Linked DNA regions of Styela clava. Each later gene encodes a partner of the first gene's protein in a complex. Links are inferred from orthologs where the notes say so. Each region holds a gene or a part of one and is shown on either strand. Other genes may lie near its edges.

What was found.
Region 2: the proteins of GPI-anchor transamidase component PIGS-like (region 1) and GPI-anchor transamidase component PIGU-like are in contact, whole or in part, in a cryo-EM structure (PDB 8IMX), measured with the Homo sapiens proteins. The link is inferred for Styela clava from reciprocal best matches to the Homo sapiens genes PIGS and PIGU. Residues at the interface, in NP_149975.1 of Homo sapiens: Ala4, Gly5, Ala8, Thr9, Glu12, Arg15, Arg18, Ala19, Phe22, Phe23, Val26, Leu30, Leu34, Trp35, Thr38, Thr39, Leu510, Leu511, Phe513, Ile521, Tyr522, Leu525, Phe526; in NP_536724.1 of Homo sapiens: Gln118, Phe282, Glu283, His284, Phe285, Leu287, Phe288, Phe289, Cys291, Val292, Phe293, Ile295, Phe299, Tyr300, Ile302, Pro303, Ile306, Lys307, Lys309, Glu310, Thr417, His418.

Annotation. Positions count from the first base shown.
Region 1 is NC_135261.1:15,374,028-15,389,804, forward strand, and holds GPI-anchor transamidase component PIGS-like, read left to right. Parts: upstream 1-8,713; 5' UTR 8,714-8,837; coding exon 8,838-9,401; intron 9,402-9,972; coding exon 9,973-10,158; intron 10,159-10,505; coding exon 10,506-10,680; intron 10,681-11,272; coding exon 11,273-11,958; 3' UTR 11,959-12,389; downstream 12,390-15,777. Other genes in the region: uncharacterized protein C6orf118-like, read right to left, coding at 12,799-14,442; spermatogenesis-associated protein 17-like, read right to left, coding at 15,176-15,777. UniProt on the Homo sapiens protein: Component of the glycosylphosphatidylinositol-anchor (GPI-anchor) transamidase (GPI-T) complex that catalyzes the formation of the linkage between a proprotein and a GPI-anchor and participates in GPI anchored protein biosynthesis.
Region 2 is NC_135263.1:4,002,229-4,017,825, reverse strand, and holds the start of GPI-anchor transamidase component PIGU-like, read right to left. Parts: upstream 8,833-15,597; 5' UTR 8,721-8,832; coding exon 8,719-8,720; intron 7,228-8,718; coding exon 7,100-7,227; intron 6,366-7,099; coding exon 6,301-6,365; intron 5,623-6,300; coding exon 5,551-5,622; intron 5,009-5,550; coding exon 4,946-5,008; intron 4,427-4,945; coding exon 4,323-4,426; intron 2,911-4,322; coding exon 2,810-2,910; intron 2,457-2,809; coding exon 2,359-2,456; intron 1,835-2,358; coding exon 1,707-1,834; intron 1,223-1,706; coding exon 1,079-1,222; intron 1-1,078. UniProt on the Homo sapiens protein: Component of the glycosylphosphatidylinositol-anchor (GPI-anchor) transamidase (GPI-T) complex that catalyzes the formation of the linkage between a proprotein and a GPI-anchor and participates in GPI anchored protein biosynthesis.

The DNA.
Region 1 (15,777 bases):
GTTAAATTGAATACAAATATCTTGGCGTTATATTCGACAATAAGTTGACATACAAAGCTCATGTGGAACATGTAACACACAAATCTGATAAAAGATTAAATTTGTTGAGACTTTTTACGGGCACTACATGGGGAGCTTCTAGAAAAATCTTGCTTTAATTTATACAGAGTTCTAGTACGTTGAATAATTGAATACGGAACAGAGGCATATTATTTTTCACCGAAGCATGTAATTAGAAAAACCTGCTGCCTAAATGATACCTGTAAAGAGATTCCGCTGAAATTTCGTCACCAACAGGCTTGCATGAAGTATAAGAAAAAAATATTATTGAATACGCCATATCCGCACACCAACATAATAGAACAAACATGGCGCGAGCTTTATCCAAAATCACCCATTTTTAAAACCTGTAACATGCTAACAACACCGGATGTTTTAATTGTGTACCAGCTCTTCAGTCACCACCGTGGGAAATGAAATTTCCAATTGATTTTATCGCTTGCTAAAATGATATCAAAAACAAATCTCTTACCTATAGGTAAACAAGCATGTGGTGAATATATTTCCGAGAATAACAAGCAGTACTTATTAATTTATACGAATGGATCAACGACGGATACGAGATGTGGTTCTTCATTTTGTATTTAGAAGCACGATGTTTCACAAATAAACATTTGCTGCGTGTAGGACATTGCTTTGGATAGTTTTGCTTCGACCGTGACATGTTTTAATTTTACTTGAGTGTGTGGCGGGACTGGAGTTGTACTATTTTTTATTGTTTATCATTTTATTTATATTTCTTGTCTGGTTATTGCATATGCATTGGTGTGTGGAGTCTGAGCCCCAATTCGCCCGACAGTTGGTTTCAGTTACTCGACTCCAACCACCACTGCATATGTGAACTGGCTGCAGTTCGCAGCGTTCGTTCTTCTTGCTTATGCTGTCGCTGGGTGAGGACTGTATTTTGTCGCTTTTATTTTATCTGCTTTAAGCGTGAATTTTACACTATTTTAATAAAGTCTCTTCGTTTGCATCGTGAACTTCGAACCTATTTGTGTGTCTTTGCAGCGCATTGGATCTTCTGAACTAATTATTACAGTATTACTAGACTGTATTAGTGGCGAGCACCTACCGGTATTCCGGTTAAGTCGTACCGTTGCAATTGTCTGGGCTTTGACAGCGATGAAAAGATTTTTTCTCTTGGCCATATACTAATTTTTACAATTAAAACTATTCTATCTTCTCCCAGGAGGCAAAATAGTTTCGTAGATTTTGCGTGGATCAAACTTTCGAAAAACGAAGCAAATTGCGACATGGATATTTACTATATCCCACTAGAAAGAGCTCAACATTTCCAATTATCCTTTCCATCTATTAAAGATCACATTAGCTTCAAATTATCTCAAAGATATGATGAAATAATCTTGTTCAGGCTACAAACAGGCTATCATCTGCACTAAATTGGCTGCCACGACAGGGTATTTGCGACATTTGCTCGGAAAACGAAACCGTCAAACATATCATGGTATATATTTTGTTTCTGCTATGATGTCTCAAGATCATTTTTATTAAGCATTGCAAAGAACCGAATATATCCCCCGTGAATATTATCAATTTGCTAACAAATCCCAGTATTATACCATTTGTCATAGAATATGACGATGTGCCATCATGACGGGAAGAATCATTTCAATATATAGCGAAAAGCGTCTTTTCTGTAAAACGTGCAACTTTTGGAAGGGGGAACAAGGCAATATTGGTTACTAAATTTCTAAGGAACATTTTAAAATCATTTTCAGGTAGTTACCTTATGTGCGCTACGAAACTGAAAGATAAATGGCCTCGACTCGCGGCCTAAATTGTTTTAGCCTGATATCATAAAAACGCAATAACCTCCACGGAAAACATTTCACCTAAGTCTTCGGTTGAGGGCGAAGCGCACTTTAGTCGGTATTATTGTAGTGTGCGTACCAGGTTGGGGTTAGGCCATAATTTTATTCCGATTTTCCTTATTTTAGTTCTATTACGAGTTCGGGTAGCCTACTGTTTGTGTTAGCCAGACCCTCTAAACTAATCAAGATCTGGAGAATATGCAAGAAAAATTGACGCAAATGGTTGATTTGTGCCAAATCCCACAAGAAATGCATTACGCGCCTGTAAAAGTTGGAAGTCTATCGACAAAACGAGAGAGCCTTCAAATGGTCCCACGGAAATGAGAGAGAAGCGCACTCTATATTTATATATCCCTGTGGCCCTGATCCAAAATTTGAATTCGGAGTCCGACTCCGAACAAGAAAAACTTTGACTCCTGTTTCGCAAATCTATTCTTGACATATTTGAGTGTTTACTACAGAAGCAACCTAAAAAACATGCTGCGCTGATGTATTTAACATCTGAACACTTCGAAATTATGCATCATCGTGTACCCGAAACTCACATTCAAACATTTCTGCCCCCTAGAAAAAAAAGAGTTCATTAGTGCAACTTTTCTAGACCTAAAGTAGGCCATCGATACCGTAAATCATAACATTCTGTTTTCAAGTTGAGACATTACGCTATAAAGGAATATAGCAAATTAACTCATTTCTAGCTATTTAGGTGGCAGATCCCAGCATGTCCAAGTAGGAACATATTGTTCACTTCCCTTACCAATAACACACGGAGTTCCTCAGGGCAGCTGTTTGGGCCTGTTGCTATTTTTAGTTTTAATTAATGACATAACCCATTGTTCTTCGCTATTTTCCAAAATATTTGCCGATGACACCAATCTCCTTGACAGACAAATCTCATTCCGGTCTCCAATTAAGGGTGACAATTGAAATTTCAAAAGTAGCAAATTGGATGAGGGCCAACAAATTAACAATAAACACTGACGAATCAAAAACAATGCTACTATCTCCATATAAAAGCAACTGTCCATTAGAATTGATGGTATGATCCTTGAAAATTTGTGATTTGAGGAGTCACCTCGAACTGACAAAAACAATCAGCAATTTAAAAAAAAAATAGTCAAACGTTATTACCGACTTTCGTAAAAATTCCGTTTGTTCGCAGTTGAAGTAAATTTTTATATGTAAATAAAAAAGAAAGTGTCTAAATTCAGCATGCTCGAGGGCCGAATAAAAAGTTGCAGCGGGCTGGATGTGGCCCGCGGGTCGCAACTTGCCCAGGCCTGGTATAAAGGGTCGAGTCTTATCTTGGATAAAGCCCTTTTTATCAAACTGGTTATTCCAGGTACGTGTTGGATCTACGTATTCTAACAATTCCTAAATGGAAAATGGTATTGTTCAAAGAAACGTGATAAGTTCATTGCTATTTACAATTATGATAAACGATCTTCGAAATAATAATTTTTCGATACCCAGAACATTCGCTGATGATTGTGACATTAGTTCAAAAATCAACGAACTTATATCGGACTTGCAAACGACACCAAATCAAATCAGTTAGTGGTGTCCTAAGTGGAGATTTACCATCTCGATGACGTGTGCTGTATTATTTTCGAGATCACGTAAGTCTCCACCAATACATCTCTGCATTGATGGACAGGAATACCAGTTAAATTGAATACAAATATCTTGGCGTTATATTCGACAATAAGTTGACATACAAAGCTCATGTGGAACATGTAACACACAAATCTGATAAAAGATTAAATTTGTTGAGACTTTTTACGGGCACTACATGGGGAGCTTCTAGAAAAATCTTGCTTTAATTTATACAGAGTTCTAGTACGTTGAATAATTGAATACGGAACAGAGGCATATTATTTTTCACCGAAGCATGTAATTAGAAAAACCTGCTGCCTAAATGATACCTGTAAAGAGATTCCGCTGAAATTTCGTCACCAACAGGCTTGCATGAAGTATAAGAAAAAAATATTATTGAATACGCCATATCCGCACACCAACATAATAGAACAAACATGGCGCGAGCTTTATCCAAAATCACCCATTTTTAAAACCTGTAACATGCTAACAACACCGGATGTTTTAATTGTGTACCAGCTCTTCAGTCACCACCGTGGGAAATGAAATTTCCAATTGATTTTATCGCTTGCTAAAATGATATCAAAAACAAATCTCTTACCTATAGGTAAACAAGCATGTGGTGAATATATTTCCGAGAATAACAAGCAGTACTTATTAATTTATACGAATGGATCAACGACGGATACGAGATGTGGTTCTTCATTTTGTATTTAGAAGCACGATGTTTCACAAATAAACATTTGCTGCGTGTAGGACATTGCTTTGGATAGTTTTGCTTCGACCGTGACATGTTTTAATTTTACTTGAGGCTGTGGCGGGACTGGAGTTGTACTATTTTTTATTGTTTATCATTTTATTTATATTTCTTGTCTGGTTATTGCATATGCATTGGTGTGTGGAGTCTGAGCCCCAATTCGCCCGACAGTTGGTTTCAGTTACTCGACTCCAACCACCACTGCATATGTGAACTGGCTGCAGTTCGCAGCGTTCGTTCTTCTTGCTTATGCTGTCGCTGGGTGAGGACTGTATTTTGTCGCTTTTATTTTATCTGCTTTAAGCGTGAATTTTACACTATTTTAATAAAGTCTCTTCGTTTGCATCGTGAACTTCGAACCTATTTGTGTGTCTTTGCAGCGCATTGGATCTTCTGAACTAATTATTACAGTATTACTAGACTGTATTAGTGGCGAGCACCTACCGGTATTCCGGTTAAGTCGTACCGTTGCAATTGTCTGGGCTTTGACAGCGATGAAAAGATTTTTTCTCTTGGCCATATACTAATTTTTACAATTAAAACTATTCTATCTTCTCCCAGGAGGCAAAATAGTTTCGTAGATTTTGCGTGGATCAAACTTTCGAAAAACGAAGCAAATTGCGACATGGATATTTACTATATCACACTAGAAAGAGCTCAACATTTCCAATTATCCTTTCCATCTATTAAAGATCACATTAGCTTCAAATTATCTCAAAGATATGATGAAATAATCTTGTTCAGGCTACAAACAGGCTATCATCTGCACTAAATTGGCTGCCACGACAAGGTATTTGCGACATTTGCTCGGAAAACGAAACCGTCAAACATATCATGGTATATATTTTGTTTCTGCTATGATGTCTCAAGATCATTTTTATTAAGCATTGCAAAGAACCGAATATATCCCCCGTGAATATTATCAATTTGCTAACAAATCCCAGTATTATACCATTTGTCATAGAATATGACGATGTGCCATCATGACGGGAAGAATCATTTCAATATATAGCGAAAAGCGTCTTTTCTGTAAAACGTGCAACTTTTGGAAGGGGGAACAAGGCAATATTGGTTACTAAATTTCTAAGGAACATTTTAAAATCATTTTCAGGTAGTTACCTTATGTGCGCTACGAAACTGAAAGATAAATGGCCTCGACTCGCGGCCTAAATTGTTTTTGCCTGATATCATAAAAACGCAATAACCTCCACGGAAAACATTTCACCTAAGTCTTCGGTTGAGGGCGAAGCGCACTTTAGTCGGTATTATTGTAGTGTGCGTACCAGGTTGGGGTTAGGCCATAATTTTATTCCGATTTTCCTTATTTTAGTTCTATTACGAGTTCGGGTAGCCTACTGTTTGTGTTAGCCAGACCCTCTAAACTAATCAAGATCTGGAGAATATGCAAGAAAAATTGACGCAAATGGTTGATTTGTGCCAAATCCCACAAGAAATGCATTACGCGCCTGTAAAAGTTGGAAGTCTATCGACAAAACGAGAGAGCCTTCAAATGGTCCCACGGAAATGAGAGAGAAGCGCACTCTATATTTATATATCCCTGTGGCCCTGATCCAAAATTTGAATTCGGAGTCCGACTCCGAACAAGAAAAACTTTGACTCCTGTTTCGCAAATCTATTCTTGACATATTTGAGTGTTTACTACAGAAGCAACCTAAAAAACATGCTGCGCTGATGTATTTAACATCTGAACACTTCGAAATTATGCATCATCGTATACCCGAAACTCACATTCAAACATTTCTGCCCCCTAGAAAAAAAAGAGTTCATTAGTGCAACTTTTCTAGACCTAAAGAAGGCCATCGATACCGTAAATCATAACATTCTGTTTTCAAGTTGAGACATTACGCTATAAAGGAATATAGCAAATTAACTCATTTCTAGCTATTTAGGTGGCAGATCCCAGCATGTCCAAGTAGGAACATATTGTTCACTTCCCTTACCAATAACACACGGAGTTCCTCAGGGCAGCTGTTTGGGCCTGTTGCTATTTTTAGTTTTAATTAATGACATAACCCATTGTTCTTCGCTATTTTTCAAAATATTTGCCGATGACACCAATCTCCTTGACAGACAAATCTCATTCCGGTCTCCAATTAAGGGTGAACATTGAAATTTCAAAAGTAGCAAATTGGATGAGGGCCAACAAATTAACAATAAACACTGACGAATCAAAAACAATGCTACTATCTCCATATAAAAGCAACTGTCCATTAGAATTGATGGTATGATCCTTGAAAACTGGTATATATAGATAACAAAATGAAGTGGGATACTATATATTCTTCGACATTTTACATCTCTAACCACTTTACGTATGTAATACTACCTTTTGTTCCAATCCCATATTGAATATGGCATAGTGGCATGGGGTTTAGCGATTGATTCTATATATTTTTTCAGAAATTTTGACACGATGGATATTTCTTTCCCATTTAATCATTTTTCTATCGACTTACTCTCTCGATTCGATTTACGTTTCTCAAATTTCCTCTTTACTTATTTGAATCCAGCTAAATTATTTGACGTCATCTGCTGCTGAACTCGGCACTTATGGACCATAAGTTATGGTGTCGCTGACACCAGAGACAATGCATAACGGTATTATTGCATGTACATTCTTATGTAAAATCTATGCTGACACGATGACTTGAAAAAATTGTGTGTCTTTTTTTTGCCTTGATTTAGTATTGTTAGTGTTTACAATGTTTCATGTGTCAGTTTTTTTTTGGAAAGATGTAATCCTGACGTGTCACCATCCTCGCCATTGTCACAGTTTCGGGAGATGTTGCTACTGTGGTTGTGAATGAATCAGTACGGCAATTCCAATATAACAGTCAAACAAAACATCACCAAAGAACTAAAAACACGAAACATGAAAATTTATATACACACAATATAAACGCAGACGCTATTGTCCGCGACAGATGCACGACAAAAATAAATAATCTGAATCTGAAGAGAGTCAGCATTATCATCATATATCAGTGGTTCTTAAACTTTTTCGAGCGCGACCCAAATCTGAGTTTTATGAATACTCGCGACCCAATCCTAAATAACGCAAAATGTGTTTTTAATGTTAGTACAGTTTGACTCAAATACAGACAACTATTTATTAGAAACAGTCCATTGACTCAGTGAGATTGATGAAACTGAAATTTCCTTTTCATTATATCTTCAATACACAGCTCTATTTTACATAACGCAACACGCAAGTTGTCACGGGTATCGAGGCGATTGCGAGCTTAGTTTTGATAACCGTCAGTGCCAAATATCCTCGCTCGCACAAGTGCCTTGTCGCGAATTGTAGTGTAGCAAGTACATAAGGATAGTTACTGTGTATTTCAATATTTTCACCACTTATTGTTAGTAGTGCATGTTATTTGCCTGAAACAAGGTCGTTGTCCCAATTCATTTCCTTTATGATATATTTCTCTCACTCAGTGTAGCTTGTCTTTGCCGTTCTTTGTTAGTTAGAAATTTGGTTTCATCACATATACTTGCTTCAAGGTTTCAAGTGTAATTCGTTATTTGGATCAATTCGATTGTGCAACTTTACAATATAACATTTGGCATTCAATACATTGTGTGCTTATTGACCTCTGAAAGAGTCAAGATCGGAGTTACACTCTGTTAACGTGTGTTCAATAACACGGGAGTGTGGACACGCTGATAGGGTCGAATCTTTGTTGCCCTATAGTAGCAACAGAGGCGTCCGCTGTCCGTCGCAAACACGACATCCTAGCTGGCCTTCGGTATCTCTCGCAATATACAACTTTTTACTCATCAAATGTGCACACACCGCTTCGTTCGCGGTAAATGGTGCCTCGAGATGAAGTCACATTTTTTCTAGATATTGAATAATCTAATGTCGAGAAGCGAGCTTTTTCATTGCGTCGTCTATTACAATTTACAATACCAAAACGACACCCATTTTTGGTTATTTTAATCCACTAAGACGACATTCCACGCGGTCAACACAACGTTGCATGGTTACCGATACCATAAAAATAATACACGTGACTGGCATATCAGAATTGTGATGTAACAATGAGCTCAAGACAGTTCTTTCCGTGAATGAAATTTTATATTCCATTATTGGAATTGAAACATTGGGAAATCTGAAAATTCGTCCGTCTCCTCTTTGATTGCCCTTGCATTAACGACCTTGTCGCGACTCGCGACCCATTTTTAAACCTTCCGCGACCCATGTTTGGGTCGTGACCCATGCTTTAAGAACCACTGTCATATATGCTGTTACATCACACACGTCTAAAATCGAATATAAACACCATGTCCATGAGTATAAAATATACTCGGGAATTCCGAGCTATTATTCTGTCGCTGAAAGTTTATGTAATTTTTTTGTCAACTTTCTTTTTCTACAATAATATTGATAATGTAAAAATAAAAACAGATCGTCGTATCGAGATTCGAAAAATGATATCCCGCGTGGGGATTCCTTCAAAAACGAATTGATAATTGTAGTAGTTCTGTCGTATATCGGGAACGCGCGACCGTCTGAACGTTCGAGATTCTCCCGCACCAGAACGACACTACATTCTGACATTAATATGGAGAGTCTAAATGACAGGCGGTCTCAAATGCAGGCAGCTTTATGCATGGGATTTGTCTTTCTCTGTTTTGGAATTCCTATTTGGTGGAAGACAACAGAAGTCTATCGGGCAGATATTCCTTACTCGGAAATAAGCGATCTGGTAACAAACTCAAAAATCTCCACCAAAATTATTGTAACAATCGCATCTATTTCCGAGCAGCTAAACGAAGACATCAAGAATAACTTTGAAGGGTCGTTTGGTCTCGAATTTGTTCAAATTAGTTATGAATTTGACACAGTTGTGCTCACACAAAAAGATATTCAAAATATTAAACACCAAAATAATGCAATTGAAATTAGTTCAATATATAAAAACGACATAACCCTGGTATTCGAAATTTCAAGTGATGCTGAAAATGCCAAGGTAACATTTCAAGGGAACCGAATACTTCTCATTGAATATAAAAGCCTGGAAATTTCAAAAGGATTGATGAAAATAATTAATGAAAACATTGTAAATGCTGAAGCTCTCAATGATGCAGTGGGAAAAGCATTTGGTGCAAACATTCAATTTTCAAAGGTGAGAATTTGATCTTTAGAACATTAATATGTAGCGTACTGCAGTACTGTCTTTATTTCAGTATTTACAATAATCGCAGATACCTATCTTCCTCATCCTATTTCAATGGATACAGGAATAAGGATAAATACAGAAATAGGTTGATAAGTCTTGCTGAAAATGGATATGAATAGATTCAGCTCTATTGAAAAGTTTCTGATGAGCTCTGGTTTCTTGAGTTTTCAGGTTTTTGAGGGTGTCAAAAAGAGGGTGGTTTACCGGTACCACTTTCAGACTTTGCAATGATGACAGCATCCATTATCTTCAATATCCTAACTAGTTTTGTAAAAATTAAGGAGTATTGTAAGATTGATCAATCCAATCCAACAATAGACACCTACCTCCCTACCAACCACTTTCTTGAACTTTTTATTGAAAAATTAATAAAAAAGGACAATGAACTTAAGCTCGCGACATGGCCGGGTTAATAATATCGTTTAATTAGGCATCTTGATGAATTTATTTGAAGGGCATTGGGGAAAATTTGGTGTATTTAGAATTTTGTTTTATTTGTTCTCTATTTCGCCTTCAGGACAGAGAGTTTCACATGAGGAAGACTGTACAACCAGACAAAGGATATGACATTGTTTTTTCATTGTTATGTCCAGAACCAGATAAACTGCAAGCAACTTGGAATATGGAAGAAGCAGTTGACATGTATCTTAAACCTATGATTAAGAAGTTGGGAAACTTTGCAGAATTTCACATTGGTTCTCAAGTAACATAACTTTGTTGAATAATTTTCTTGATAATTTTTTCAGTAACTCTAGAATCTAAATTTTAATCTGCAGTACATAAAGTGTGAAATTAGACATTTATTCGTTATTACTAAAACTTTTAGGTACAATCAGACACAGACGAAAGTGTTAAATAAATCTGCATTTTCATAGAAGTAATTAGGAAATTTAGGTACTTTTTTGCTTGAAATTTTTACCCCTGGTTGAGAACCCCTAAACTAGATCTCCATTTAGTGAACTCCGTTGATCAAAGCAATATGTTCTGACGGCAACCCATACTTCAAATAGTCCAAATACTTGCACCGTATGCCTAAATTTTACAATTTAGATTCTCTACTATTCTGGATTGTCTGTGAAGCCAAAGTCCAAAACTCTTGATAATATCAAGCAATTTTATCTAACGCATGAACAGCTATCTCATGTTGTGAATCCAATCGAATCAAGGCTTGGTGCTCAAATATCTCCAAACCCAACTTTGAATTTTGTTGTTTACATGTCAGAAGGTAAGTCGAGATAAATAATTTGGGGTTGATTTACAGTGGCATGATTCTTATTAAACTGATGATACTAAACCTACACTATGATTTTTTGCCAAATTATAACTAGATTATGCATGAACTGCTGAAAAAATATTGAAAAGAGAGAATTATGTATTGTATAATTATTAATTAAATAAAGTTTTTGAATAAGATTTTTTTGGTCAGACTGAAGTTGGATGTCATAGACCTGCTACATACTTAGGAAATCTATCTACTTGGCATTTTAATTTTTAGTCCTATCTAAAAATATAAACGTAGCATCTACAAAAAAAAAATTTTGATTCATGATTTGTTGTATTGTTACAAATGCAGTGAGATTACAATTGTGAAAATTTTCAATCGTCTTATACCGAGTTGATATTTTTTCAAATAAAAACAATTAAGAATATAGATTGGTTTGTTGATGTTATTATTAAAGACGAGATAAATGACACTTAGCAGTGATTCAAATTCATAGAAATTCTTTCTAATGTGACAGCATAGGGGTGATTGCGATCTTTAAAACCCCATTTTATTTCTTTGATTTATTTTTAATAAACCTCATGCTCTCCTTCAGATAACTACAATCCTCTTTATATTCAACATGCTGACGAGAGTTATTCAACTACCAACACATTTCTTGTTCCGAGATGGGGCTCCATCATGATCAAAAATGCACCAAAAAGCAACGATACTATCTTTCCTCATGTTGTTGAACTAGACAGTGTTGAAATCATGCAAGTGTTCGTGGCACAACTAAGATCTTTACTTGGTCTTGAGATGACTAAAACGCCCAATGATGACTTTGAAATAACTGTTGCAGACAGGGGAATTGCTGGCATAAGTGATTTGGAATTGAGTTATTTGGTGCGAAAAAGAACTTTTGAAAATATTGCTACGTCGGTACATGCTATTCATACACTCTCAGAACTCCTAGGGAAAATTCACAACATTGTTATCAATGATGAAATAGCAGGTCATATTTACACTGCTGTTGATGCAATAAAGAAAGCAAAAGCTTCACTAGATGAATCAGATGATCAAAGGGCGTTAAATATATCCAATATTGCCTTCAAAGCATCAGAAACAGCATTTTTTGATCCAACATTGCTTGAGCTGCTGTATTTTCCAGAAGATCAAAAATTTGCAATTTATATTCCTTTATTCCTACCCATCAGTCTGCCATTGCTAGGCTCATTCATTGCTGCTATCAAATGGTTGAGAATGAAAAAAGGTGATGAGGAGAAGCAAAAAACAGAGTGACATGGTGATCACTTTTGTGCTGAAGCGTGGCATAAAAATTTGAAGTTATGGAGGTGGCCTTGACTAAAACTTATGTAAACCCCTGCGAAATGTAGTAGTAGTTTCTTTATGATGTCATATGGAAAAGTAATGAGCATGATGTATTAACAATTTCTATATTGTTATTGGTAAAATTACAAAATTTAGAAACTATATAAGTAGCGGTGATAGGAGATGTATATTATTTATAACTGTTTGAAATGGCATACTAATTTGAATCAGGTACTTTTAATGTGTTGTCTTTTGAAGCCACAATTCTCACAGGACATTGTTTTATATTCAAATGAAATGATGTGTAAAATACTGGTTTATCGATCAACATTATTTTTTCTACTCCTTATGCAATGAATTGAACTGAGATAAATAAATACACTGTATGACACACATCGATAGTCCAGTTGTATGTTATTTTCAAACATTCTGATAGAATAGACGTGTATAGTTATTCAAGTTCAACTAATCGGTTGTACATTGGCATAGAAAGAATTATATAAAAAGGTGAAAAATTCCATTCTCGTTTGGCAGTGCATATAATTTATGTTTTTGTTTGAGTTTATGAAAGTCGAAAAAAAAGCAATTTACTATGCTGCAGGGTGCTATTTTTATTTTATCTTCTAAAAAAAAAAACTGAAAAAGCAGGCGGTAATTTAATGACAAAGTTTCAATGATATCTCTGAGTTACGAATTTTGATTAAAATTTGAACAGTCCCATTATCTTATACCTTAATTTTATTTCAACTAAATGACTCAATCATTATTACCGGTTTTTAAATGGAAACTAAAATAAACACAAAACTTAAATTATGAAACACCTAATTCTAATAAAACCTCGTTAATGTTTTCTTTGCCAAGGGAGTCGAATTTTGCTAAATCAGCTTCTAGTGACTCTTGTTGTATTCTCATGTTTTTTGTTAAATATTCGTTTTGTTGCATCAGTTTTTGCATTTCATTTTCTGTATCTTGTACGGCATGTTGTAGATTTCTATGCAAAGTTTTTGGCACAAACTCTGACTTCAGTTCATGTTGTTTTTCAGATATACTGTCTAACCTTTCCCAAATATCTGCACGGAGATCTTGTAACCTTTTTTCGGTGTTTTTCTCTCTCTTTGCTGATGCTTGTCTTGTACTTTGCATAGTGACAGTTTTTTTACTTGAAGTTTTACTGGGTAATAATCTTCTCCTGTTCTCTTCTTCCTCTAATTCCTGTTGTCTTTTTCTTTCTTCAATAAGTGCACGTTCTCTCTCAATTTCTTTGTGTAATTCAGCATTTTTTAAAAGACCTTGCCTACCTTGTTCTTCTAAATCTTCCACAGTATTTTGCAGTGTTTCAACATCTTCTTCATTGGTTCCTGTCATTCCGTCGGCAGCATTTAAGCAGGACAAAAGTTCGGTATGATTTGTTGCTTTCATTTCATCAAGAAGGTCTGATAGATATCTGTCATATTCATCCTTAGTTTCTGATAAAATGGGACCAAAAATTGATGAATCCAAGCATAAATCATGCCATACTTCACCATAAGCTTGCAATCGTTCAAAATTAAGTGAATTAACTTGTTTACTTGGGTCGTTTAACTCCAGTAGTTTTCTAATGAGTTTTTGTTCCAAATGGTCCGCTGCTCTGTGTCCATCTCTTACATTCTTTTCCATTGTCTCATATCGATGTAAAACATTTCTGTCAAAATCCAGAATTTTATTAAACCGATCTTTTCTGGTAATTCCTGCAAAATGTGTTGTGACAAATTTTTTATCGGTTATTTCATGTATTTGCTGTTTGATGGAAGGGTGTGGATCTTTTAATGAAGGAGGTACTCTCACAGCTTCGTCAACTGCAGGCAACATTAATTCAGGCAATTTAATCTCTTCTGTCAAAGTGCTCGAATACTTGGATCCATATGGCACGACATACTTCTTTCTTGGAATTCTGCCGGGTGTTTTTGGCTCTTCTTTGGCAGTGCTCTGATCTGGCTTTGGAGTTGATTGTTCTAGCGCAAATGGTCCATCTGGCTCCGACATTAGCTTGGCAATTTCTGACAAAACCAATGACTCGAGCTTGTTTTCAGCCTTTGTGCCCCGTAGTGGAAATTGTCTTGATTTTTTGCGCTTAATCTTTTTCTTTTTTGTGCCTTTTGTTTCAGGCAATGTTCCCACTGTACCTACACTGAAATCCAACAGTGCATTTTTCATCCATTCCACTTTATTAACTAACATATGATCTGCGTTTTTTCGAGTCTCTGCAATTCTAGCAAAAGGATTTTCATTTTTCTCATCAACCATTCGAGAGCTTTTCCATGGCACATGTGAAGCAAAGTCATCCTTAACGGGCAGTTTTACTAATTTATCCGGATTTAAGTGACCAGAAGCATAATCCCTAATATCTTTTTTGTGAGCTAAGTAAGTAGCCTCGACCAAGTGGTGTAAGCTTCCGCTTTTTTCAGGTTTACTCATTTCTACTTATTGTAATGTGGGAAATATTACCTAAAAATATTCAAAAAACATTCATCGAAAAATTATATCAGACATACAGAAATGTGGCATTACAGAAAGCATGGGTGGTATATACAAGCCAAATTATATACTTAGCCAAATTATCATAGTACAATACTAGTTCTACATGGATAAATGTGGGTAATAATTTAAATGTATTACATAAATCAATGGTTAGTGATAAAAGTGAGATTGCTGCATGTTAGTAGTAGATGCCAAACAACTAGAAACTTGTTTTCTTTGGAAGTCATTATTTCACAGTTATTTCATTCTACATGGATATGTCAAAAATGTACATAACTGATCACGGTTCTAATAAAATATAACAGTGCTGTTACAAGGAACAACAAAAATTTTCAAGCAAATGCTTATTGAAAAAAATCACTCTTTTACAAGCATCCATATATTCTGTTTGGGAAGTGTCAAAGATATATTTTTATATACGATTAGAATGAACATTCTACATCACTTCAAATTGGTAATTTCTTACGAAATCGCAGAAAAGGTGTAAGTGAGTGAATTGTACACTAAGATTAAAAAAAAACTGATAACCATAGCTTAAGTAATCATTATTTAATGTATCCAATTTAGCTATAGTGATCGAAGCACCCAAATCCAGAAATCCCTTTTGATCAGTAAAATTAGCACTTCTGTATAGATGAATATTACAGTACAATGATGATGTTAAGAAACATTATTGCAGAACTACAGCACCTTTAGAATATGTTTGTTCAAACTTGTCAAAGACAGGAATTGGGGAAACTACAGTTTGCATTCTTTTTGTAGAGACATTCCTATTATAGTTTGTTTCCCGAAAGTATTTAACGCCATATGGGAGATGACCAAATTTGGAAGAAGTATGTAAAAGAGGTTCATAAGGTTTTTCTTTAGTGCTGAATGGTAGAAAAGGAACATCGATAACTCTGTCTCTCCATTCTTCCTCTTTCATGAGTTCCCTTCCTTCATGTAATGATGTAAAATCAGTTGAAACACGTAACGAAGGATTTAGAGGCCTATATCTTTGCCTATACACAATTACTGGATCCTTAAAGGGTCCTTGAATCTTTTCTTTCCTAATTGGCGGTAAAGTTTTTGTTGGAGGATGTGGCTTGAGAGTAGTATCTGTAGGATCAATCATGTCTAAAGAAACACTTGTTTTATATTGAGCTTGTTTCGTTTTCTGCTTGTGGTCAAGTGGCTGTGCCGCCCTTAATCTGAATTCCATTTCATGAGGATAGGGCCAGAAAGGAGAGTTGTATATACCAGGTTTTTGATGAGTGCTCAATAAATAATGAT
Region 2 (15,597 bases), on another chromosome or scaffold:
GGTATTTTATGGAACAGCATGGGAGTTGAGTTTTGGAAGGAGAGCCAAGGATCATGAAAACCAGATGTATCAAATTAAGTAGACAATGCCTCTTAATTTAATACATCTGATTAACTCCCTCTGATTAACAAATACAGAATTCATACAAGGTGTCAACAAAGTCCCTTTAAAACAGGGGTCGGTTTTGTTACCTTTTGTCTCATTATAATTAAATTATAGGCTCATTGAACTAGTAATTGTAAATTATATTCTTGTTAGGTTATAATATAATTTAGTCTACACATGCCTTACAATAAATTATGTTACATAAAGAATATATTCGTCGAAACAGCTGTTTTGTTACTTTAATTTAGTGTAGCGTCACCGGCCAGATTATATTACTCCATGGGCCAGATCCGGCCTGCAGGCCGTAGGTTGCCGACCCTTGCTTTCCATTTTCAATTTTGTTACGAAGTCGGTTCTCAATATATCTCAACTAGGTTTGTTGTTTTTCAATCAGTAAATGTTTCAAGTATTTTAGTTCATTTAATACATCTGTGAGGGGAAAAACAATACAGGGAGTCCTCGACTTACGACGTTGTTCCGTTCTCGAGACGCGGTGTAACCCGGATTTTAGTGTAAGTCTGAACATTATACTGTACAGTACATAAATTACTCTATACATATCATACTGTAATGAAATGTACAAATAATGCAAAAAAAGTACTTTATTAAAAAAACAGAAAACAATTCCATATCACATGAATAAAAGCAAATACTGTACAGTACAGTATTATCTTTTATATTTTTTATGGAGTGCGCGTTCCTAACGTCAAAACAGCGTCATGGAGTGCGTTCGTAACCTCGAAACAACGTAAGTCGCGACCGTCGTAACCTGAAGACTCCCTGTATATGGTATCGATAAACTCCCCTCGGCCCTCGCAATTTTGAAAATTTTAGGACTTTATGGACACCCTATATATTCATATTGACCGTGATGCATTGTTAAAGTAACTTATACATAACAGGATCACCTGAATTTCGGCCAACTCCGTACAAATATTAAGGAACAAACTTATCACATCTCAATATAACTCACCTTAGCTTGATTGTCAAAGGCAAACTGAATATCAAGACATTGAGTTGAAAAACACTGAGAAAGAATGTGTGGAAATGATCGAAGACTTCCGTGAAAAAATACCAGAACACTCCGACGTTCGGTGTCAAATCTGGTACAGTGACTCTGAAATTGTCAAATAAAATGATAAAAATATGGTTCACAAACTTTGTTATGGACAGGGCTATAGATAAAAAACACTCCGAATATATATGCAAAGGTTTCATTTGTGATGAAGCCCTCATTACTTATCGATCTTAAGATCGGTAAGTATGTTGATAGGTATTTGTCTGTATGGAACAAAAAATGAAAATAAAAGAGTTAGTGATATTCGTAGGGTGGGATAACTTGTAAAGGTCCCTGACTTGAGACTCGATCCCACAGCTCTGCAGAACACTCTATGTGGTATAGCAACGCCTAAAACAGCCACAACATTTGACCCTGCTGTATACTGTTCGTCCTTTTTTAGCATGGTGTTTTGGTTTGAAAGTCATTTTTCGGTTTGTGCTGCTTTAAGACTCTTAGTCGACGTTTGAGCTAATAAAAGCCTAGTGTTTGTTTCTTTCTGTATTAGGTTCATCACACTCTATAAAAATTACAAAAAACGTACATGAATTTCACAGTAGCAAATGCAGAATCCCATGATTCAATACAAGATGCTCCAAACAATATCAAACTCCATACAGTGAAAAGTAGAGTAATTTTCATCGATGTTGCATAGATATGAGAGGATGATTTCTGAATACAAAATATTTTTTATATGTATTTAACTGTATTTTACAATCATTACAATAATACAAATATCGTACGATGACCTATCATTGCCACGCAGTGATTGAAATAACAAAATGACATGAAACATAGAACTTCTAGGACGAAATACAAATGAAGCAAAATGAAAAAGCAACAAAAAAAATATTTTGGATAAAAAAAATTACAAACAACTAAACAAGACACAATTTATATGGATAAATTCATTTTTTTGTATTCAAATTATTAAACATGTCAATCGATTTTACACACTTTGATATTAGATACAAAACACAGTTACCTCAATGGTCTAACAGTTGAAGCGATGCACCTATTGTCGCAGTTTTAGATTCGCCCCATACCCACCACTCCCTCCAAGTTGTAACAAATTGGGTAGACAAACGGAAAGACCTCAGTCTAATTACCGTAAAACTAATATCTCCTTTCTTATCAGTGGCTGCTTATACAAGAACCTATTAGGATGTAAAAAATTTCATAAAAACAAGTCTTACCAAATGAAAATGCATGATGACAGGAGCCAGCAGCTGAACGGGATAAAAAGTTTGATAAGTTGTCAAAGCTAAGAACAGTGTTGATTGGACTGCATTGCCTGAAACAGAACAAAATATCACATAGTTTGAAATTCTGGGATAGGATTGAAGTAAAATTCCATGAGGACACCATAAATATCTAAAATATGACGTTATTATGCTCAATGCAGGCACAATAAGAGTCATGGCGATCTAAATAATGAATATTCAGAAAGGGAACCATATTATTTTATGATTATGCAATGGTGGCATGACCAAGGGCCATATTCGCCACACTATCCGTACCCATGGATTCGTAGAATAATAAATTGATAATGCAAATATGCAATGCTGAACTGAAAGCCTAAGGCCCTTTCAAAATTAGTAGCTTGCTCAGAGTGAGAATGTTGTACACAGAAATAATTACCGGTACCTTTTACAGTGTGATAGAAGAGTTGACAGAGGAATAAATTATTGAAAACCGTTGTTGATTTTGCAATGCAGGAGGCAATCAGGAACGGATTGAACATGTATCTGAAAGTGGAAAAATATAGTAAAAATTGTTTCCAAAACACACATTTTTACTATGCGTTTTTTAACCTTCATCTTGAATGATGAAAGGTAACCTTTGATGCAACCCACTGTAACAAATTCAACGTTCTTTGACCAGTGACCAATATCACTCAGAATTTAGCAAAAACAAAAAGTGTGCGAAATATAGCATAAATCATTGAATTTTTAGCAGTTAAAGCATGGTCCTTTTACTGCTCAATCTATCTCAAGAAGGGTAGAGATTGAGAACACTTGAGGCTACCCTGGTTCCTAGATTGTCCTAGAACCCTCACAAATGGCCGTTATTATTCGAACAGTTCAATAATTCGGCCTAGAATTAATTCAATTCTGAATATTCCAAATGCGTTGAATTTTGTCACAGAAATAAGAAAAATCGGAACTAAAATAAGGAAAATTGGAATAAAATTATGGCCTAACCCCAACCTGGTACACACATTACGAAAGTACCAAAATTTCATTGGAGATGATAAACCGTGCAGAAAAACCATACACTGTGACTTTTTACTTATCAATTTCAAGCGGTAAGTATGTTGATAGGTATTTGCCCGTCTGTATGTCTGTTAGATGCACACGATATCTCACGAAAGCGAGATTGAATCTGCTCCAGATTTTGCATGTGCATTCATTATATGTCGGACCAGAAGCCTATTGATTTTGGATGAATTATGTCATATAATTAGCGAGTTATTAATTAATTAGTGATGGGACACAAGGTGTCACTATGGAGTCATGAATCGAAACCGCAATTTCGATCGATAAGTCTTCGGTCTCCGACCAATATTCTCGTTTAATTCTTGACTAAACCTATTTCAGTAGTCCTTATGAACAGCTAGCGGACTTGAAGGATAGTACCCCGAGGTAAATGTGACATTGAGCTGAAACGAGTCAGCTTTGGAATCCAGAGCTAACATATAATTTGACAGCTCAGCCTAGATCTTTTGACAAAAGAGATTTCGTTTCCAGAAGAAATAATTCTGAATTCAATTCAAACTAAACGCCTAAAGCAGGGATCGGCAAACTGTGGACCGAGGGCCAAATGCCACCCTCAAGCAAATTTTTTGTGGCCCCCGAACAACCTCATTTTCAATGCATGGAACCGATAATTGCTCGTAAATTTATTATCTGCGGATGTTTGCTGTAACAATGGCTGTTTTACGGCATTTATTTTGTAGAAGTAGAGGAAGCACATGTCAGTTTACTAGCAAACGTGCTTACCGCCAGTTGTAATTAACACAGAAACAGCAGTTGCAGGCGCGTCACAATTGTAAGTTTATGGGATGAAATTAATGTAACCGCATGCTACCGCCAATGGGCATAATTGGCCCAGTAGTACATGAAGTTTGCAGACCACTGGTCTAAAGTATTCAACTTACAACATGCAGATTAGATCAGGAATCCACTCTGCTCTGTTTTCTTTGATCATTATTCTGTCGGAATCTTTCGCAAATTTGGATTTGTTTTTCTGCTGTTCTGATATCTGAAAATTGCAGGAATGGGAAATATAGAATCAATCCACATATCATTCTAAAACAGGGGTGGGCAATGTTTTTGAACAATGAGCCAAAAACTGTGCCTACCTACCTAGACTGGCGGGCCATGTAAGTGTGACTTAAAGTTACATTTTATGACTAAAATTTTATTTACAGTGTTACCATACCGAAAGTCGAAAACAATATACTTCATGCCAAAACTAAATTTAATTACAATCTCAACAAATTCAGATTTCAATAACAACATCTACGTAGTGCATGTAGATTTGGTTGAAAGAAGAAATTTATCAGGCAAGCCAGATTGAATCGCACAACGAGCCGGATTTTCCCCACGGACCGCAGTTTTCCCGTATCAGTCCTAAAATCTTGATGTGCAGCTCTGTGGTAAAAATGAAGCTTCGGAGCTGTAGCCATTATGATTTCTAACCAGTTGGATAGTTTGAAAATGCCACAACGACTTCAACACTTACACTCCTAAACACTAACATTGGACGTAAACCACTCACCTCATTCTCCGAGTAGAGTTTGGTGAAAGAAAATAGACTCAAAGCAGCCACAACATCAGCAAGCTAAAAATAAGAAAAATATGTTATCAATATGTTATCGTCCTTTCAAGGAATATTTACAGATAGAAGATATATCATAATTGCAAGTAAAAACTAATGCAATAATAAGAACTATATGGAAGAGCACTGGCTCACTATATATGCCAATAAAAAATGAATGACAGTAGACTTGAAGTGTTTAGGATAGGATTTACATATTTATCCTGAGGGATTAGAAAGCAGATAAGACGGCTTAATCATATAGAGAACCATGGCATCTCGTCAAGTTACCAGTCTATGTCGGGTATGGGATTTGTTAGCCAGTTATTAGTTTCAGATGCATGAATTTGATGGTGGAGGATGTCGTAACCGACCAGCAATTGCACATAATTATAATAAATGAGACATGACCGAGATTAGACTAGTCAATTGGAAAGGCGTCAATGCAAAATGGATCAATTTTCAAATTAGAAATGAAGTGTCTAGAAAAATTCGAAATAACAAAATAATTCTGAAGTGGTACAATCCTAGCAATAGAATACAATGTCACACAAACTAAAACTTACTACAAATATGATTGGAAACAACAGTGGAGAAAATTTCTTCAAATTTAGAAACAAGTGGAGCATCAATGGTGTCTGAAAATAAAATGAATTTATTCATTAGTGTTATTGTAATGAAACTCGATAAACTTGTCCGCCATCCGGTTTATCCCCTTATTGCCAGATATGGTCACCCAGAGTGGCCCATTTGGAATAAACATTCGTGGCACCCAACTCAACGATTGAGTTGGACTTCTTACCAATTTAACGCTCCGAGGACTTCGTTCCTGAAGCCATTAATCATTCACTTTACCAGATAAAGCAGTAACAAAGACACAATGCCATGGTAATTACCAAGCCTTGAAGCTTTCGTTAATGCATTTAAAATAAGGCCCGCCCCCATCAGATGGCATGCCAGACATAATATTAAACCTATTCGTGGAATTGCCAATTACTTGGTATATAAATCGATGGTTCTTAAACTCTTTAATCCTAGAGTCTCGCGCCCCACCTCAAAGATAATAAACTAACAATAAGCTACAAATAACAGATAGTATGGCGAAAGTATTTTTTTTTCAAAAAACATATCGAAAATACAAGGATGGATCGTAAAAATCCAAATACGACAAGCAAGATCAAATCTGACGAATATTTTCATTTTTAATCAGCTTCACTTGCCCTCAAAAAATTATCTACCTTCCCCCCCCCCCCTGTGTGAGCACAAGCTTTGATTTACGGTATCAATAATATTGCACAATTAATACTGCTACTCACATCATGGAAAGAGTCCCCGTCATACAAAGATATGTTGTATTGATGAAGTGCCATTCCTTCTTTCACTGAAACAAAAGTCAATACTTAGGATACGAATCAGATATTCAACCCATGAGAAAGAGAAAACTGATAAACCAGCTTCATCATATGGAGAACTAATGCCTTCCATGGGTATAATTTACCATTTTGTTTGAATCAAATTCTTTAGTCATTCCTAGTCAAAGCACAAAAAGAATTTAAAATGAAAATAGAAACAAAACTGAACATAGAGCCATAGAGGAAAGTCAGTTTCATTCGAATATTTGAATTATACATCAGCACTGCCATGAAAGGAACCAGCTTTTCAAAATTTCTAAATCAGGACAAAACAGTGAACGTTAAAATTTAAAAAATAGATTTTTTCTAAATATTGCAAAGGATAAGTGTTCTGTGAGCTGGTATAGTGATACCTATACATATTCTTGAGACATTTGAGACATATTCGCCAAACTTCAGGTTCAAATTGGTACTCCCATTGTGTTTATACCGGGTTAGAATTAGGGCATCATTTCATTCTGATTTCCCTTATTTTAGTTCTATTACGAGTTTGGGGACTGTCTGTGTTAGCGAAGTGAATATACCCCCTGCCCATAGGTTTCAGTCCCTTTACACAACTTTATGTAAAGTAGGCAAACAAAATTAACTACCTCCATATTGGTACACACATTTTTGAAGCGCCAAAAATCGCCATTCAAACCCTGGATGAGGTGATTTTCAAGCAATATTGATTTCTGAACAACTTTAACAATAATCCACTCACATCTAGTCCATGATGATTGGGGAGTTGAAACTTCGGGCCTGTCAATCAACCATTTTTCTATGCTCGAAGATGCAAAGAGACACGCCCTAACTGCCACGCCCATAAGAATGCTGCTTTCTTTCGATAACCTGAATGAATAATACGATATTAATTTTTAAAAATTGACTGCGTATCTTCATCCTTGTATAACAGTTGGTAAAAAATTAAACGAGTCATCGCAGAATACTAGGTACTCCACGATGGTGAGTCCAGCAATTCCCTGACAAACCTATCCACAAATTCGAAACTGCAATGACAGGGCCATGACATTGGGGGAAATTTACACCAGATTACAAGCTCGCAGATTCGACTCCTTGTTGACAAAAAGACATAAATTTAGCTCCAACAAACCAGAAAACTAATAATTTTTACCTACAAAAACTTGAGGTGTGCGGAGGCCTTTTTTTGGTCTTTGAAGAATGATTAGTCTACCTAATGCTTTTTGGTTCATCGGAAATCTCACCATGAATTTCAAAATTTCTATTCGGGCTCTGACTCGCAACTGCGGAAGTTCGAAAATATAAGTCGAAAAGTCGACTCAAATGAAACATGCAATAACGTACACCCAGCACTGCTGCAGAGGAGGGTAGCCAGGAATGGGGGTTTGTGAAAATTCTAATTGCCAAGATAGACTGTGTACGATAATAGCTGGGTGGTTATTTCAAAAGGAGTGTTTCCTCCCTGGATAGACCCTTGCCCTGGAGGTCTTTGAGAATCTAAAAAGTGTTTCAAGCTCTGAAAAATTGGTATGTATGAGACAGAAAAATGCATTTTTTTACATTTTAAAAATTGCGTTCAGACCCCCATCTCCCATCCTGGAAATTGGGGTCTGGTATAGTTTAGTACCACATGCACTTCTAGTTGGCCTGGCTCAGCAATTTTTGCATATGTCCATCCGGTGACCGTACATTTGAACCCATGTACATTTGAACCCATGCGTATATCCACGGGTTCAATCTATATGCGGGTGCTAAAACCCATGGGTTAGGGTTAGTATGGGTTTAACTATCCGTGAAACAAAAAAAATTCCATAGGTGCAACAGCATACAGGTGCAATTGTCATGGGTTCAAATGTACGTGGGTTCAAATGTAATGGAACCGTCCATCCTAACCCCCACCTGACTACGTCACCGAAAAATTACGTTTTTTCAACGTTACAGTGGCGTAATAAGGCGCACCAAAGAATGCGGATGCGATCACCCGAAATCGAGCAAGCTATTTCTCTCGTTTTCTCGTCACAACGATCACGATAGGAGAGATCGCCGGCTTCAGCGAGTTCGTTATCGGCGACACAGATATCATTTTGGGCGATCGTAATTATACTTCTGCAAACCATATGACGTGATGGTGACGTCGTAGTGACGTAATTTATGGATGGCATAGTCAGGTGGGGATTAGGAATAACATATGCAAAAATCGTTATGCTACGCCCACTGAAAGTACTTGTGGTACTAAACTATACTAGACCCGGAAATTGCCCCTGCTGATGAAACCCCATACAGAGGGAGTCAGAATCATGATTTGAACGGTGTTGCTGACACTCAACAATGCTAGAACTTGTAAATATAAATATTACTTACATTTTGATCGGTTGACAGCTTTGGGAAACAAAGTTTGTGATATATAAAGTTTATCTAAGGTATTTTCAAGTTGGCCTAACTGGAATTAGCTGAAAAAAATACAAATTCTCATTAATTTTTGATTACTTTGCATAAGCATTATGAATTGCATTTTAAATTATTATTAACAGTTGGATTTTCACATGTAAGATTAAAAAAAAAAAATTACTTTAAAGATGTAAAAGTGAGTGAAGATTAAATATAAAGGTCTTCCTGCTCAGAACATATTCAGAAAAATGTCTTAAATAATTATAGATTGAGGATGAATTTTGTAATAATGTACATGCTTTGATTTTCTACAGTTATCAAAAGAGCCAGTTACACGATTTTCTATATTATTTCGTACAAAGTGCATTCTCAGGATGGTAGAAAAGGTAACTACTGATTAGTATGATTACTGATTTGAGTTTGCTTATCAGCTGTCCAAATGACAATTTAAATGAAAATATTTTTAACTTATTCCAGATTAAAATGGATAATGTAATGAACATTTCACGTTCTGCCAAGCTTCCCAATTATCTTTAAGTGCTTTGCCAGCCTAACGGATTCAATATATTCACAATGAAGTCACTGAGATACAGAGAATATCATTTAAACCCTGCATTCAACATCAGGTTATGAGTGTTGTGTAGGCTACATATTTGGACCAGTCAAACTCCAATGATTTGGCCCGTCTAGTTAGAAAACAAAATTATTACAACCAGTCACACTTCAATGATTTAGCATGCATAGTCAGAAACCAAAATATTCTGACCAGTCACACTTCAATGATTTTCAATAAAGATATGTTAAAATGCAATTTTAAAGATTTGCAAATATTTTCGACTCGTGGATTACTAAATTGGGAACAGTTTGAAGTTCATGTATAGAGGTGACTCCAAGTAGCTTCATCGTCAATTCAAATTCATCTCTCAATATTTCTAGAACTTTTTTGACTCCATGCACCCCACCACAAGCAAGCCCCCAAATCACAGGACGTCCTATAAACACTGCTTTCGCTCCGAGTGCAATAGCTTTCGCTACCTCTCCTCCATTCCTAATCCCACAGTCGAAATATACTTCACATTTATTGTTTACGATTTTCACAATATTAGGAAGGATATTTATTGAAGCAGAGACTCCATCTAATTGCCTGCCTCCATGATTTGACACAATGATTCCATCCACGCCATGTTCTATTGCCTCTAGTGCCATTTCTGTGCTTATTATTCCTTTGAGTATGATTGGTAGATTTGAAATTGATTTTAACCAATCATAATCCTTCCAGCTGAGAGTAGAATCATATAAATTATTAGCAAATTCCGCCATTCCAGATTCTTTAATGCCACTAACTTTGTAATTTTCTCCAGATGCTTCAATTTCAAAATTTTTTAGGGATAAATTTGATGGCAGAGAAAATTTATTTCTAACATCAGCATATCTAAGGCCGAGTACAGACAAATCAACAGTCAAAACAAGAGCTGAAAAACCATTATTTTTTGCTCTTTCAACCAATCGTTTCGTCACCGTTCTATCTTTGAAAACGTAAAGTTGAAACCATTTCAAACCGTTTGGAACTTCAGAGACTAACTCTTCTATACTGGTAGTAGACATCGAGCTTAAAGTAAATAATGTTTCGAGTTTTCCCGCTGCCTCTGCAGAGTCAATTTCTCCTCTTGTTGAAGCCATTTTTTGAAGTGAAGTCGGTGCAATACAAATAGGAAAATTTATGGTCTTTCCTAACACCGAAGTAGACAAGTCTACGTTTGAAACATCTCTTAAAACTCGGGGTTGAAATCGCCAAGATTTGAATGCTTCACAATTTTCATGTAACGTTTGTTCATTTGTCCCCCCAGAATTATAGAACCCAACTGCATTTTGTGTAAGATGCTTTTTTGCTTGAACTTGGAAATCTTTAATGCTAATTAAAGAATCCATAATACTGTTGAAGAGGAATTTACAAATCAATTTGATAAAATGATTCGAGCATGACAAAAACTTGCTGACGTTGCTGTATCAAAAAACTCAAGCATGCAAAAGACGGAATCAAAATATCAAACAAGATACTGTCCACTGGCATTGGATTCAGAATTACACAAATCATATAAAATTGCAATACTGGTGAATATATGGTTCTAAATGCCATTTGAATACCCCTTTTTCTATTGGGCTGGAGATTATGGGCCTCGTCTATATTGGACTGCCATATACATATACACAGAAATTTGAGAGTAGGAATGGATATATCCAGTGGTGGGATTCAGCCGGTTCGCACCGGTTCTATAGAACCGTCTCGCGGAATTTTATGAGATCAGCAAACCGGTTAGCATTACTAAAAAAATATATCACAGAACCGGCCGAAAAATATGACTTCTGTGATGGAACAGACCACTGGATATTATGGTCCCAATTGGCCCGTTTCATGGTGGTATATTGGACAATATGAACAGGTTAGAAATAGGGGAAGGACATATTATTCCACTCATCATTTAAAAAGCCACTTCCATAGAGAGGGACTAGTACCAGACTATAATAGACAGCAAGTTGGAAAGAGAAATGAATACCCGGTTTCATTCCAATCAATAACCAAATAGCTAACCTCTTTTGATGACTATTTGGCTAGATATGGACTGCAGGTTTGGAATAGGAACTAATATATAGGATTTCTATTTGAATGGCCCTTTTGTAAAGGAATGTTGTGCTGCTATGTAGATGGCAAGTGCAGTAGATTTACATGGTGCCAATCACCATTTGAATGACCTCGCCCATATTGATTTATTGAAAAAGCAGAACCAGTCACATACACAGGCTACTGATTATATTTACAATACCATGCCATGATATTGTTCCGCTTAGTCAAGGTTAAAAGGTCATTCAAAGGTTCCACTGCAAAAGGACGAATGTTAAAATAAATAAAATTCCCAGACATGTACATCCATTTGTTATAATCCAAGCATAGCCTCCCTGTTGATAATACAAATCTTCCGGCTTGACAGATAACTATTACTTTACTGCTAAATATATACAATGAAAATAAATTAATACGGGAACAAACATAATAAAAATATGGCTGGTAGTAGGTACTACAGCGAGTAAAAATATAAATAAAAATCAATTTTCACAAGTTTCACTTTCAATTGCATACTCTCAGCAATATTATCCATAGAAAATTTTTGGCAGTCGACATTATTAACAGGTAAACGAGAATATCGGTCAGAGACCGAAGAATTATCGATAATACTTAAATTCAAATTTGACCCAAATATCCAAGAGTTTCTGCTGTTCGACAGAGAATCTATTATTTTCAGTAATTGTGGTGACATCATGAGCCCTGAGGGCCAGACCAATGAGAGATGGTGCAAACTTTTTAGATTCTTGAGTTGTTGAAAACTTTTTTCAACGTCTTCATATCTGTCCCCATACTTTCTGCCAGACATATAACAACACTAAAACATTTTAATTGCTGAAATATATAACAAAAACAAATTAATGTGCAACAAACATAATCAAACCATGGCCAGTGGGTATTACAATTAATAAAAAATACAAAGAATAATTAATTTTTGAACTATATGAATATCAATTGTATACAAATAGCAAAATCATGGCATAGAAAATATTTGGTAAATTAAGTAAGCAAATAAAATGGTTAGAAAATAACAGCTATATTCTATAAAATATGGAAGGAATGTCTTATAACAGTGGTTCCCAAGGTTGATTGATTGGGGCCAAAATTAAAAGCATACGGTTACTTGCGGGCCAGGAGAGTGCCCACAAAGGACAGATACCGTATAATAAGGATATTATAATTGAACAAACACATACTTAAACTGTAATAATGAATTCACACTTGGTGGCATCTGGAACACAATAAGGAAAAATTGAATGCTAGACTATTCAATTTAAGTTCGGTGGGTCATCTTAAAACGTCAGGCAAGCCACGATTTGGGTACCACTGTCTTTTATTCAATAATTATAAAACAATCGCATTGACAGCCATATTTTCTTTCTCTATTCTATTCTGTTCCTATAAACTTCCTATAATTTAATATAGTTTTGACTCAAACCTAACAAAAACACAGTTAATATATAATATGAATCATCATTTGTTAGAGCATAATGCCCAGCCATCATATATTACAAGGGTTCCCAAGCTTTTTTCATGACGACACCAAAGACAACTTTCAAGTGTCCAGTGCGACCCCATGTCAATATATATATTTTTCATGAAACTTTAGAGCTTCTTTCACTGGACTTTTGAGTATGGTCATGTGGCAGTATTAAGTAAAATAAGCTAAAACCAAACAGTGATTTCACAATAAGCACGTATATTTTCTATAGCTAAGCATAGAGCGACGCTTATGGGCCTGTTTTACAGTAAGCCATGGTACAAACTGCTGAATTCAACATGGTTTGTCAAATCTTAGATAATTTGTACATCCATCCTCTACCATACTTCAGCGACCCCATGACCTGTTTGCGACCCTACCGACTTATCACTCCGACCCAATTTGGGGTCGCGACCCCTGGTTTGGGAACCCCTGATATATAATATAGTTTCAGCAGCTCATGGCATTCAATTGATTTCCCAAAACTTTTTTTCCTTTCTCCATAGCAACTCCTTGAGTAAGTGCATGTGATTTCAACAAATTGATTTGAGGGAAAATGAAAGAAAACATTCAAATTGGAATTAAATTCGTCATTATTCATAATAAGTTTATATTAAAAAAGACACCAAAAATACAATAAGTGCATATTTGCTTTTTGTATAAAGCAAAAATAGGTATTATTAAAAGCTCGGCTAACCTATTCAAATTTTTTGATAAGAGACACCAGAAACCTAAAATATAAAACTAAAAAGAAAACATAGGCTACATAGCAATCACTAATGCAGTTGTTTTCAAAAAGGGCACCTCAGGGCACAGTCCAGAGGTTCCGCAGGTTTCCATTTAAATCCGTGAGTCTGTACTATTATATGTATATTGATAAAATATATTCAAATACACTGGTATGATCAAATCAGCTTGTTTTATTAGTATCTCGTGAATAAGTGAGACCTTCAGGTGTTCTATGTCAAATTGTTGTTCTACATTTTAATTGGAATATTTTATGATAAGAAATGTAATTTATAATAAAATACACACTTTGCAAATTGCATAAACACTCCCCGAGTCTCTAGAACTTTTGGATAGGGTTGACAACCGCTGCACGAAGCCAAAAAAATTGAGGAAAAGAGTTTCCAAGGAAATGTTGAAATTTGAATCTTTATATTTTTTTTTCAAAAATTCAAATTGAAAAAAATCTTGTTTACACTGAGTGAAACTATGAAAGTATTGAACTAACAGGAGACATCAATGTACCAATTAAAATTTCTACAGTGCTATAGTTGGTTATAAGATGGATTTTGGGATCCCAATAATATATGAACAGTCACATTCACTAATAAAAGTGCTTTGTTTATGGGTCACATTCATCTTTATCAATGCATTCACCATTATTTGACTAAATTTTAGAAATTTCCAGCATTATCGAGCAAAAAATGCAAATAGAACAATTATTGATACTGGTGGGGGGGAGGTCTGACTTTCTTGCTCACAATTGGGAGTCTTCGCTCACATTCTGCATTGTCGGCTCACTGACTTCAACATCCGAAGTATCCAAATTTTGTCGTTGTGCCATTATTTCCATAGGAACAAACTCTTGGTCTGAACTTTCATTCCTCTTCTGCAAGGCTTTTATGAAAATCTGAACCAACCAAAGTGTTCGAACGAATGAAGTGAAACGTCTTTTCAAATCATCAGAGAATTCGTGCACAGGCCTAACCGGGTCTTCTTTGTTTTGAAGATACTCATCAGTCAATTGCCTTATTTTTAGTATTATATCCTCATCACTGGTATTAGAATGATTCTGTTTCCAAGCCAACAGTGTTTGAAATGCAAATTCATGGAACGAACCTTTATTATCCTCAGCAATAATTGCAACTTTATTTTGATTCAGTGACAATCCATTTCCCGATCTTGCGAATTTTTTAAATTCTTTTGGTGGAATTTTTTCAATAACTTCATGAAAAACATCTTCAACCCTCTCACCAAAAGAAACTGTGTCCCGCTGTGACTGATGATATTTAGTAACAAGATCTTTTAGACTTTCTGGAGTTGCAATATTCCCGTTTCTTTCCTTCCAAAGCGCAAGTAGTTTGAGTTTCTGCTGATCGACAGAGAATTCATTATTTTCAGTTACTGTATTGATATCATGAGCCTTGAGAACCAGACCATCGCAAGATCGTGCAAATTTTCTAAATTCTTCAGTTGTTGGAAACTTTGTCACAATTTCCATGAATACATCTTCAAATCTTCCGCCCATATTTTTACTATATTTAATGTGAATAGAAATTAGGTAAGCTACATTACAAGAGTGAAAAGATTTTGCTATTCAACACCATTTTGTCGCAAAAAAACGTACTTCAATGGTTGTTTTGCACATTCTATGTGTACCGTACCGTACTTTGGCGTACAATTTTCATTTTTACTTTGAGCACCAGCGACCTTGTTTTGAACAAATATTAGAATATGCGTAAAAATGGAATATATATTCAATATTTCTTAGGTAAAGTAGATTTAATAAAGATTGATTAATTAAATATCGCAAAATTACTGAAGCAATTGTACATTTTTTGTTACCCATCTCTACATCGTACTGTCTTTTTTACTGTCCAATGTACTTTTTTTGATTAATCCTTTTTTTGTGCCAAATAAAGTCCAATGACAAACAGAATTTTCGTATTGATATTTTTAGAATCGAATCATTAATTTTGAATACAAAAGTTCATCATACCATTACCACAATGACACTAATTCTACC